Linked DNA regions of Rattus norvegicus. The protein of the gene in region 3 interacts with the protein of the main gene of each other region in a pairwise test. Links are inferred from orthologs where the notes say so. Each region holds a gene or a part of one and is shown on either strand. Other genes may lie near its edges. The genes, in order: Wdr25, Tnfaip8l1 and Psme3.

Region 1 (4,093 bases), on a different chromosome or scaffold from region 3:
AGCTAAATCCCCAACCCCTCAGGAAGAACGTTTAAAAGGAGATTCAGTACTGTGTGAACATATGCATTTGGGGTGAAAGAAACAAATTTGGATGCCATGATTAGAATTGCTCTTACCACAGTTGGGTAGACCAGATGCCTATCCGGGGCGCCTTAGGACCTGATCCTGGGCTTTATGCATGCCAGGTAGGTCTTTGGGCTTTTTGGTTTATTTGTTTTTGTTTTGGTTGTTTTTTGAGACAGTTTCTCTGTGTAGTCCTGGCTGTCTTTGAACTCAATCTGCAGATCAGGCTGGCCTCCAACTCAGATGTCCACTTGCCTCTGCCTGCTGAGTCCTGAGGTTACAGGTGTGCACCACCACCACCAGGCTGAAGTTGTTTTTAAAAACAGGGTCTTGCTATGTATCCCAGGGTGGCCTTAAAATCATAATCCTCCTGCCTCGGCTTCACGAGTGCTAGCCTCAAAGGTGGGTGCTGCTATACATAGGCACATCGTTGTCCTCTTGCTTATTTTCTACCTCCTCCTCCTCCTCCTCCTCCTCCTCCTCCTCCTCCTCCTCCTCCTCCTCCTCCTCCTCCTCCTCTTCTTCTTCCTCCTCCTCTTCCTCTTCCTCTTCCTTCTCCTCTGCTTTGCAATGCTGAGGGGAAAACCTGGAACCTTGCATATGTTAGCAAGAGTTCTGTTAGTGAGTTTTAGTCCCAGCCCCACATAGCTTTCCATTTAAAAATTTATATGTTCAGCCAATGGCAGCCTGTGTCTTTACTCCAAGCACTGAAGAGGTAGAGGCAGATGGATCTTGGTGAGTTTGAGGTCAGCCTGGTCTACAGAGCAAGTTCTAGGACAGGCAGGGCTATCCAGGGAAACCCTGCCTCAACGTGCACACACACACACACACACACACACACACACACACACACACACACACACTATAAATAATTATGTCTACTTAATAGAAAATCCATTTTTTTTACTATTACTTGGATTTTTATATATAATGTCTCTATATATGTTTATGCAATATTTAAATTAGGGTTAACATACATATCTCTCCAAAAATGATTTCTGTTTTTTTTTTTTTAACTTTTTTTGTATATATGGCTGGGTGACAGCATGCATGTCAAGGCACACATGTTGAGGTTGGGGGACAATTTTCATGAGCTGATTTTCTCTTTCCACCATGTAGGTTCCAGGGACCAAGCTCCGGCTTGATGACAAGCACCTTTAATCCACCGAGGCTTCTTGCTGGCCCAGACATCATATACTTTATAGTTTTCCCTTTTTAAAAGGTATGTTTTCTATTTTTAAGTGTGCGTATGCATATGCTGTTGGTGTGCGGGCATGTACGTGTGGGTGGGGGTCATCATGGAGGTCAGAACAGGGTGTCGGATCCTCAGGAGCTAGGGCTACCTGTGGTTGTGAGTTGCCTGAGGTAGGCCAGGGGACTGACTTTGGATCCTCTGGAGGAGCTGTATATACTGTCAATCACTGAGCTACCTCTCCTGCGCCAAACATAGCTTCTTTATGTTGAAATATCTGGACTCCATTTTTGTTCTTTATGTGTTTGTGCTTGTGGAGTTTGATGGCTTTAACTTTCAAGGGGACATCCTGCTCTAAAGTGCAGGATCACCCACATCTTCACGGTTGCTGACTCTTGATCTTGTTTAGTTCTAGGGAGCCACCTTCGTGTGACCGTATGGCCTCGCTGGTGGCGTATGATGATTCTGACCCCGAGTCGGAAGCTGACCCTGCCAGAAGTGGGGACGCTGCTGGTCAGATGAGCGACGTCTCTGGTATCAGCAGACCTGAGGTGGAGTTTGCATCTAGCACAGGTGTGACCAAAGAGGGGGCACAGCACACAGGGAACTCTCCTTATGAAGACCCAGGGAAGCAGCGTCTGCCCCTGGCTCGGCTCTGGAGAAGTGACCCGGGGTCATGTCCCAGCCAGAGGCTACAGTGGCCCTCAAAGGAACCTGATAGCACCTTCCCCACCAGTGAGCCTCCTGGTCCTTCTTTGTGGATGAACCGAGCCCCAGTTGGCCATGTGCCCCTAGCAGCTGCCTGCTTTAAGCCACTAAAACCTGCCTGGGATGCCTTCACACCTTCTCACACTCACAGCAAGCTGGAAAGCACCGCTGGAAATGCCAGCTCCTCTCAGAGGAAGAGAGGTGAGGCCTGCGTGCTGCCCTACATCCCCAAGAGACTAAGGCAGCTGCAAGTGCTGAATCCAGAAGCAACTGGGGGCAGAGATGTCGAGCCCCCGGGGTCCCCTGCAGGGTGTGCCCCGGCCCCACTCTGCGTGGCTCCCACAGTGTCCGAGTTCATCCAGCCATATTTGAACAGTCAGTACAGAGAGACTACGGTCCCCAAGAAAGTGCTTTTCCATCTTCGAGGCCACAGGGGCCCGGTCAACAGCATTCAGTGGTGTCCGGTCTTTAGTAAGAGCCACATGCTTCTCTCTGCTTCCATGGACAAAACCTTCAAGGTAAGATGAAGGATAGCAACTCCCAGTGGCTCTTAGGCATAAGCTACTGGGATGCTTTACTGATTGGAGTCAGGCAGGCAGTGGGTGGACACAGACTACACACTCCCTTTGGAAACTTCTATAGTTTTGTTTGGTACACTGGAGAGAGAGTCCTCTATGCTCAGCCTCAGATCTTTGGTCTTTCCTGCTCCATTCCTTTCTTTCCCAAAAAGCACTTTCTTGGGGACCGTAGTCTCTCTGTACTGACTGTTCAAATATGGCTGCCTTGCCATAGCACTACAACGTTAAATAAATTATAGTATGACTAGATGGTAAACATTTTACTTCTCTTGATAGTAATACTCATATGTTTTAATTTCAAGACAGTGTTTCTCTGTGCTGCTTTGGCTGTCCTGGAACTTGCTCTGTAGATCAGGTTGGTCTCGAACTTAGAGAGATCCTCCTGCCTCTTTGGGGATTAAAGGTTACACTAGTACTGTTCAGCATGCATACATTATTTTAGCTCAAGTATGCTGTAGTTCATTTCTTTTCCTGCGGTTGGACATTTTGTTACCTTTAGTAGCACATCCCATGAACTACACTGCTGTAAGCATGTTGCTACCTACATATTCCCTTGCCAGAGCCTGAGACATCTATTCCCCCAAAGCTTATGGCCCAGAGAGAGAGAGAGAGAGAGAGAGAGAGAGAGAGAGAGAGAGAGAGAGAGAAGATATAGATGTTCTATTGCCTGTGAAGTTAGAGAAATTGGACATCTGTTTTCAGGGGGATGCAGTGTGTTTTCTGCTTGTTTGTTTGTTTTTTAAAGACAGGCTCTCACTGTGTGTGGCTAGCCCTGACTGGCCTCGAACTCGATATGTAGACCAGACTGGCCTCAAAGGCAAAGAGATCTGCCTGCCTCTGCTTTCTATGTGCCACCATGCAATACATTTAACGGCAGCCTGTAACTGCCACTTACAGTCAGCAGAATAAGGGAGCCCGAGATGTGTGCAACAAGTAAGCTGTAGTAAGGGGCAGTCGTAAGACCACATCTCCTGAAGTGCTCCCAGCTTGAGGCCAGCTTGGTCTACAAAGCAAGTCCAGAACAGCCAGAGCTTGTTACACAGAGAAACCCTGTCTCAACCCCTCCCCGCAGATACATGGGTCTCTAATTGTAAACCTAGTCTAGGTGGAAAGAGGTGGGTCTTTTGGGCTCTCTGGTCAGGTAACTTAGCTTATGTAGTGAGATACAGACTGGCGAGAGACAGTTTTAAAAAAACAAGGCTGGTGCCTGTCCTAGTTAGGGTTACTATTGCTTTGATGGAATACCAAAAGCACATTGGGGAGGAAAGCATTATTTGGCTTCCATTTGCACATCATAGTCCATCATCTAAGGAAGTCTGGGCAGCAACCCAAACAAGGCCAGAAATTGGAGGCAGGAGCCGATGCAGAGGCCGTGGAGGGTGCTGCTTACTGGCTTGCCTCACATGACTTGCTCAGCCTGCTTTCTTATAGAACCCAGAACCACAGCTCAAGGATGGCCTACCCTTAATGGGCGGGGCCCTCCCATATCAATCACTAATGAAGAAAATGCCCTATAGGCTTGCTTGCAGCTGGATCTTATGGAGGCATTTTC
Region 2 (4,328 bases), on a different chromosome or scaffold from region 3:
CTCCCGACCACGTCCCCACACCACAGGATCAAGTGCACCAAAGTACCCTTACCAGACTCTGAGGACCTGGTGAGGGAGACATTGGCAGAACCAGGGAAGACAGTCCACACCCTCACAAGAGCCTAGTCAAGGCTTCACCTGGGTATTCTAGGCAGAAGCTCCACCCTGGCCACGCCCCCAGCCCCCCACTGGTGGATTCTAGGCGAGTGGAAGGGGTAGGCTCCAGCTCTGAACCACACTTCTAACCCACACAGCTGGGTTTGAGCCCCACTTTATCACACCTATGATGTCTGTGGGTTCCCCAGTCTCACAGAATCAAGGTGCCCAAAAGATGCCCAAGAACCTGCTTCAGTGACACCTGCCCCCCCCCCCGAAAAAAACACACTAGCTACCCTGGCTCATACTTTCAAATCTGGGGTATGAAAATCTAGAGCTGTGGTCTCTCTTTTTGATACTGAGCCATGTCTAGGGTCGTGTGTGGCTGTCACAAGGCTGAGCTCCTGGCACAGAGTGGATGGAGGCTATGGTGACGCTCAGCACCCTGCAGGTTTCTGGCCCAGAGCGCAGATAATTTGAAATCAAGAAAGCCATTGGGGTCTGTGCTGCTCCAGGCAAGTCACTTAACCTCTCTGGATCTCAGTTTCTATCTCTCATAAGATATAAAGCTAGGATTTAATTTTGTGTGTTAAAGCCCGTGCCAGGAAAGGTCAGGATGTAGCCAGCAAACATCTGGGCTTCCCGAAGAGGGCCGGGGGCAGCTGAGGCTTCCCCCAGTGTCCTTGCTGTGACAAGGCCATCCAGGTTCAGCAAGTGCAGACCCATGGTGGAGAGTTGGGGTGGAGTTTGGAGTAAGGTGGGGGTGTTGGCCTAGGTTGGGGGTACTGGGGGTGTGGGAACCACTCCCAGACTGAGTTTCCAGGTCTCACAGCCTCCTCCTGGGAGGCAGCTGGCCATGCCCGGCCTTTGTTAGCGAAGACATCACAGTGTCCCGCCCCCACCTTACCCCAGAGACACCCACCTCCGTACTACTCAGGAACCACAAGGATTGTCCCAAGGCAAATGTTGAGTTGACACGGGGGTCCCAGATGACACTCTAACTACCTAGTGGGTAAACTAGGCCGGCCCAGAGGGGTGCATGTGTCTCGCGGAGGCGTGTTTCTTCGCTTTGGCCTCTCGGATCTCTGTCGCACTATGCACGCGTGCTGCATTTTTCTCTGTCCCAGTCTTTTCCTCTTCCCCGCCTCAGCACTCCTTTGGGCAGCTCTTGCCTAGGCACTCAGCTCAGCGCTGTTCCGGAGGAATTCCCCCGGCCGCAGGCTACGCCCTTGCTCACGCCCCTTTCCTGCCGAGCACCTCTTGGCAGAGGCTTGCTGCTATTGGCTCCTTTGTACACCGCCTGTGCGCTAGCTACCATTTGCTGAGCCAGTGAGGGTCTAGAGGGGGCGCGGCCTTCTCGGGAGCGTGGCCTCCCCGCCAGCCGCCCGGCTCAGATCTAGCGGCCAATGCCTCTGGCCCAGCAGAGGCACCTACAGAAAACTAAAGGCTTGACGGATCGCGGGGAGCAGGTGAGCTATGGGGTCCTACACCAGTTCTCCTGGGGTTTTCCCGTCCCTTCCTATTCCCACACCGCCCTATGTGCATCCTGCCTCAGTTTCACTGGCTTTGGGAGCATCGGTTGTTGTGAGCAGGTTGCTGTGGGCTAAGTTAGTAATCCTCAAGGGGAGACTGGATGGACTTGGCCCTGTACAGGCGTGCAGCCTGACTCCAAAATGGTCTGGGTATTCTCTGAGGTGGCCGACTGGACCCCACTGTGGCTCTGGCTGATGCAGGAATCTCACCTGAGCAGGGTCACCCTGACTGGGACTGGCACTGCAAGCTTCCCATTGCCTGAGGGCTTGGACTCAGTTTTACCAGCTGAGAACTGGGACAGTGACTGGCACATAATTGGCAGGTGACCTGGTACAGGTCTGTGGCCTTCTGGCTCTTTCAGTGGTGGCCTGGAGGGTAAACTAGGGTCCAGAACATGGGCTACGGTTGGCCAGCGAGAGGAGACAGACAGGGAATCAGACTCTGGCTTCTCACCTTTGTGAGCAGCAGGTCTGGAAAAGGGACAGGGTGGAACACTGAGCTGGAAACAGGCCTCTGGGTCACCTGAGCTCCAAGCTGTGAAGCCTCTGGAGGCCTGCCTTGGGGTCAGGACACAGCTCAGACAAACCTGACTCACTTGAACACGTAACTTAATTATAAGCCTCAGTTTCCCTGTTTGTCTTGGGACAGTTGTTTCATGACTCCCTGAGGCTTCTGGGAGGGTTAAAAGCAAAGACAAAATAGAAGGTGAGCCAGGGTGGGCTACACACTGAGGCCATGTCTAAAACAAACGGGACCCTGGAGTGTGGCCCAGTGGGTAGAGTGCACACCTAGTAGGCAAGAGGCCCTGAGTTCCAGCCCCAACATAACATAAACCAAGGGTCACGGTGCATGGTATTCACCCAGTGGTTAGAACAGAGGCTGGTGGATGCCTGTAAGTTTGAGGCCAGGTCTACAAAGGGAGTTCCAGGCTAGCCATAACTACACAGACAGATCAGCCATCTAAAAAAGAAAGAAAGAAAGAAGGAAAGAAAGAAAGAAGGGAAGAAAGAAAGAAAGAAAGAAAGAAAGAAAGAAAGAAAGAAAGAACTGGAACATGAGCTTTGTGTGCCAAAGGTCCTGTTTTTCTGTCCTGGGACCTCAAAGTGGCTGCCTCTTCTCCACATGGGTATCCTCACACTCAGAGCCTCTGCACGTGCGGAGCCCTCTACAACTCTGGCAGATCAACCCTGGCAGCACCAACTTTAAAACATAACAGGTTCACAATCCGGGCCACACCTAGGATGTGGGTGGCTGGGAGGGGTGAGGGCGAGGGCGGAGCAACGGGGACTGTACAAAGTAACAGAACAAAGAAAGTCATCATAGAACACCTGCCCTGGGCTTCCATGCTTGGTGAGCCATGCTTGGGAGTCCAGTGATGAGTGGTGGATCCTGAGGGTATGGACAGACATAGAGACTTCTCCGTCAGTTTACTTTCTGAGCCCTAGGCAAACTAGGACTCGTCCCACAAAAGTTTGTTTAATGATTACAAGTGAGGTGACTCAGCATACAGGCCAAATAATCGGGGCCACCAGAAGGCGTGCCACCTACTGACGGGTGCCATCCAGTGTTCAGTGAAAGCTTAGAGAGAGTGAGGCTCCATTCAGGAGCCCAGTGAGCCCACTCTTCCAAGAACCCCAGTGTGTCTTTTTCTGAGCCCCAACCTTGTGTTTCCCCATCTGGAAAACAGTTGAGGTAATTAAGAACCCCCCAGAAGGTGCTGTGCAGGTGGGGGCTTCTGCAGTCCTGACCAAAGGCCAGTTGAAGGAACCATGGAAGGGCTGACAGCATACAGAGCTCTGGAAGATTCCCAGGCCGGATCAATAGCCACCCCACCCCCTTCTCCATTTTAGGGTGGACCCCAGGGGAAGACTGCAGTTGGATAAGCTCTGAGGTAGGGACTGGATTCAAGTCCCAGTTCTGACCCAGCATTATTCTGTCACTCCCAGGCCCCTGACTCAGTTTCTCATTTTATCATAGCCATGAGGAATTACTTAGTCAGTTAACAAACTGTTCCCGAACACTGAGGTAAGTCAACTGTGTTAGTTAATGGCACCAGCACACAGCAGTGACCAAAGCTGGCCCCACGCCTACCATCTCCTGCCTCACAGTTGGTAAAGCTGGACTCTGTCCTGAGTTATAATGGTAACTGTGAAAAGAGAAAGGAACTGGGTAACTGGGTGTTCGTAGAGATGAGTGATCTGAGATTTCCAGGGTAAAGCAACCACGTAGCAACCTGTGGGAGAGAATGGTAAGTGGTAGGCTCAGCGTGTGTAAAGGTCCTGCTGTTTGTGAGAGCTATGGAGGAGGCACTGTGGCTGCAGAGGAGGGAGAGGGGAGCCATGGAGGGCAGAAGGCAGAGGGGCAGTTAACTCAGTGCTAATGGGGGCTTCTGGCATTTCAGGGACCCCTGACAGGGTAAGAGGAACCAGGATAGAGGCTTCAGACTGCTGAGAAATTCTGGGGCTGAGTGCACACACTGATGACCTTCATATTTCCCTTCCGTTAAAACATTGAGTGGATGCTGGGTGTGGTAGAACACACCTAAGAGGCTGAGGCAGGGGGATTACAGTAAAGCCAAAGGTAGCTTGGGCTGCAGCATAAGACCTTGTCTTAAACCCCAACCCTGAAGAAATGGAGTAGAAGTTGAATCAAAGATCCACACTCTCTTTGGCTCTGTAACAGTCTCTTTTAAAATACTT
Region 3 (2,790 bases):
CTTGGGTCATCAGACTTGGCAGCAAGTGCCTCTCCCTGCTGAGCCAACCTACTGACCACTTCGGCTGCTTTTTAAATGTGTTCTATTAGTGGTAACTTTGGCCTTCCCAACCAGAATGTAAGTTTCTTTTTGACGAGAACCCCTTTTAAAAACTTTATGTGTGTGTGCATTGAAATTCATATGATAGAGGGGTGGGGATTTAGCTCAGTGGTAGAGTGCTTGCCTAGCAAGCGCAAGGCCCTGGGTTCGGTCCCCAGCTCCAGAAACAACAACAACAACAACAACAAAAAAAGAAATTCATATATAATCTCTGGGGTCCAGAAAGGAATTACACTTCCTTGTACAGTATCTTGTAATGGGCATGCTTGTTGAATGCAAAAATTAAACTTGTTTGTATAGTGTCTGTGATGGGCATGTGTGTTGAATCCACACTAATTCTTGCTTCTTTATACCTTTAGCCCACTTACAAGAAGCGCAGGTTGGATGAATGTGAAGAGGCCTTCCAAGGTAAGAGCTGCTATCTAATCAGCACACTTCACCTGCTGACTAGCCGCCCTGAGATGTAGGATGGATCTGGACTTCAGGAACTGAGGTCTCATTTAATTTCCAAGGTTAACAATCAGCAAATCCTCCTGGCTCAGTCATTTAGTCTTCTGGAACGCCAAGAGGGTCTGGTTGTGTGGATACCAGGGAGGATGCTTAGAGGCCCATATTCCGTGCCTTAGTTTCCCCGTAGGAGTAATTGCTACCTGATCCATCAGGGGTGGTGTAGTCACTTAGAAGAGATTATTACATCCAGCTTAAGGGAAGAAGGAAAAGGTGGAGGCTGCTCTTACTTTTTCACTGCAGTGAACATGTGTCCTTGACATATCTTCCAGGAACCAAGGTGTTTGTGATGCCCAACGGGATGTTGAAAAGCAACCAGCAGCTTGTGGACATTATTGAGAAAGTAAAACCTGAGATTCGGCTGCTGATCGAGAAATGTAACACGGTGAGGCAGGGGTTCGTGCCCAACGAGCGCCTCTGGAACTGTGGAATGATGGGAGGGGTTGGCAGGCTAAGGCCTTTGATTCCTTTGCCCTGGCATCAGTCCCCACCAGCAAGAATCATGTACTTCGGGGGCCGGAGAGATGGCTCAGTGGTTAAGAGCATCGACTACTCTTCTAGAGGTCCTGAGTTCCCAGCAATGACATGGTGGCTCACAATCATCTATAATGAGATCTGATGCCCTCTTCTGGTGTGTGTGAAAACAGCTACCGTGTACTTATATATAATAAGTAAATACATCCTTTCTAAAAAAGAATCATGTACTTCCAAGCCTAAGTAGGAAGGACCAAGGTCCTTCTACAAGTATTTTGTCTTCTCATGCTCTAGGTCAAAATGTGGGTTCAGCTCTTGATTCCCAGGATAGAAGATGGGAACAACTTCGGGGTGTCGATTCAGGTAGTGTGCCCGCGTTGCAAACTCCGCTCCTTCCCTGCTTGCTTTCCCTTGCTCTGTGGTGCTGCAGTAGATGGTGGGGAAGTAACCTGACTCACCTGTTTATCCCCAGGAGGAAACAGTTGCAGAGCTAAGAACTGTCGAGAGTGAAGCTGCGTCTTATCTGGACCAGATTTCTAGGTAAGGTGGTTTGCGCTGGACCTAGGAACAGGGGATGGTGAAGTGGGAGGCGTGCTCAGGGTCCAGGCCCAGGAATGTGGTTGGTGAAGTGGGAGGCGTGCTCAGGGCTCCCTTCAGCTGCTTTTTTTTCCTTCCAGATATTATATTACAAGAGCCAAATTGGTTTCTAAAATAGCTAAATACCCCCATGTGGTAAGTAGGGTTTTGTGGTCTGAGGTGGGGTGGCAAGATAGAGAAGAGAGTAGGACTGAGCAGCCTGTGGGCATTTGGGCCTTGGAAGACGAGCCTCCCTACTCCCCATGCAGGAGGACTATCGCCGCACTGTCACAGAGATCGATGAGAAAGAGTACATCAGCCTCCGCCTCATCATCTCAGAGCTGAGGAATCAGTATGTGAGTACATCAGTCTCTGCCCAGAGTTGTCCTGCTTCTCATAGGCCTGTGGTGATTTCTATAAATCTGGGGTCGGAATGAAAGGAGTCCAGAGATGGTGTCTGTCTATGGTGCCATCTTAGGAGGTTGAGCAGTAGGACCCAAAATTTGAGGCTGGCCCAGGGTACAGAAATAGCTGTTTATCAGCTGGGAGTAGAGAGCATGAACCTCTGAGGGAGTCGAGTTGGGTGTGTGTGTACTAGCTAGGTGGAGGTGCTACACCACACATGGATGCTTAAGCACAGGCCTTGGTGCCAGAGGTGGCTTTACAACCAAGTTCTCCTGCGGGATTCATCTTGTTTGTCCTCAGATAAGGTCTCACTACGTATCCCTGGTTGTCCTGCAGCTCACTGTTGGTGACAGACTTTAAAGTTCCACTGACTTGGGGTTGGGGATTTAGCTCAGTGGTAGAGCGCTTGCCTAGCAAGTGCAAGGCCCTGGGTTCGGTCCCCAGCTGGGGGGGGGGGGGGGGGAGTTCCACTGACTCTGTCTCTCAGTCTCTCAAGTGATGGGATAAAAGACATCTTAATCTGCTTGATTTTTTGTTTTTGTCTGTGTGTCAGTGTATGCACATTTGAGAGTGCAGGCACCTGTGGTCAGCAGAAGAGGACATCAGATTCCCTAGAGCTGGAGTTAGTGACAGTTGAGAGTTGCCGACTTGGGTGTCAGCTCAGCCTGCTCCTCTGCAGTGAGAACTCTGGTTCCTGCTGATGAGCCAGTGCTTCAGTCCGGAACCTGA

What was found.
Region 1: the proteins of Psme3 (region 3) and Wdr25 interact in binary tests that used the Homo sapiens proteins (3 or more experiments, as listed by UniProt). The two-hybrid records come from large-scale screens. The link is inferred for Rattus norvegicus from reciprocal best matches to the Homo sapiens genes PSME3 and WDR25.
Region 2: the proteins of Psme3 (region 3) and Tnfaip8l1 interact in binary tests that used the Homo sapiens proteins (3 or more experiments, as listed by UniProt). The two-hybrid records come from large-scale screens. The link is inferred for Rattus norvegicus from reciprocal best matches to the Homo sapiens genes PSME3 and TNFAIP8L1.

What each region holds. Positions count from the first base shown.
Region 1 is NC_086024.1:133,574,040-133,578,132, forward strand, and holds the start of Wdr25 (WD repeat-containing protein 25), read left to right. Parts: upstream 1-1,189; 5' UTR 1,190-1,285; intron 1,286-1,664; 5' UTR 1,665-1,692; coding exon 1,693-2,481; intron 2,482-4,093.
Region 2 is NC_086027.1:1,074,341-1,078,668, forward strand, and holds the start of Tnfaip8l1 (tumor necrosis factor alpha-induced protein 8-like protein 1), read left to right. Parts: upstream 1-1,488; 5' UTR 1,489-1,565; intron 1,566-4,328. UniProt on the Homo sapiens protein: Acts as a negative regulator of mTOR activity.
Region 3 is NC_086028.1:86,760,892-86,763,681, forward strand, and holds part of Psme3 (proteasome activator complex subunit 3), read left to right. Parts: intron 1-458; coding exon 459-507; intron 508-878; coding exon 879-991; intron 992-1,374; coding exon 1,375-1,443; intron 1,444-1,552; coding exon 1,553-1,620; intron 1,621-1,757; coding exon 1,758-1,812; intron 1,813-1,925; coding exon 1,926-2,012; intron 2,013-2,790. UniProt on the Homo sapiens protein: Subunit of the 11S REG-gamma (also called PA28-gamma) proteasome regulator, a doughnut-shaped homoheptamer which associates with the proteasome. 11S REG-gamma activates the trypsin-like catalytic subunit of the proteasome but inhibits the chymotrypsin-like and postglutamyl-preferring (PGPH) subunits.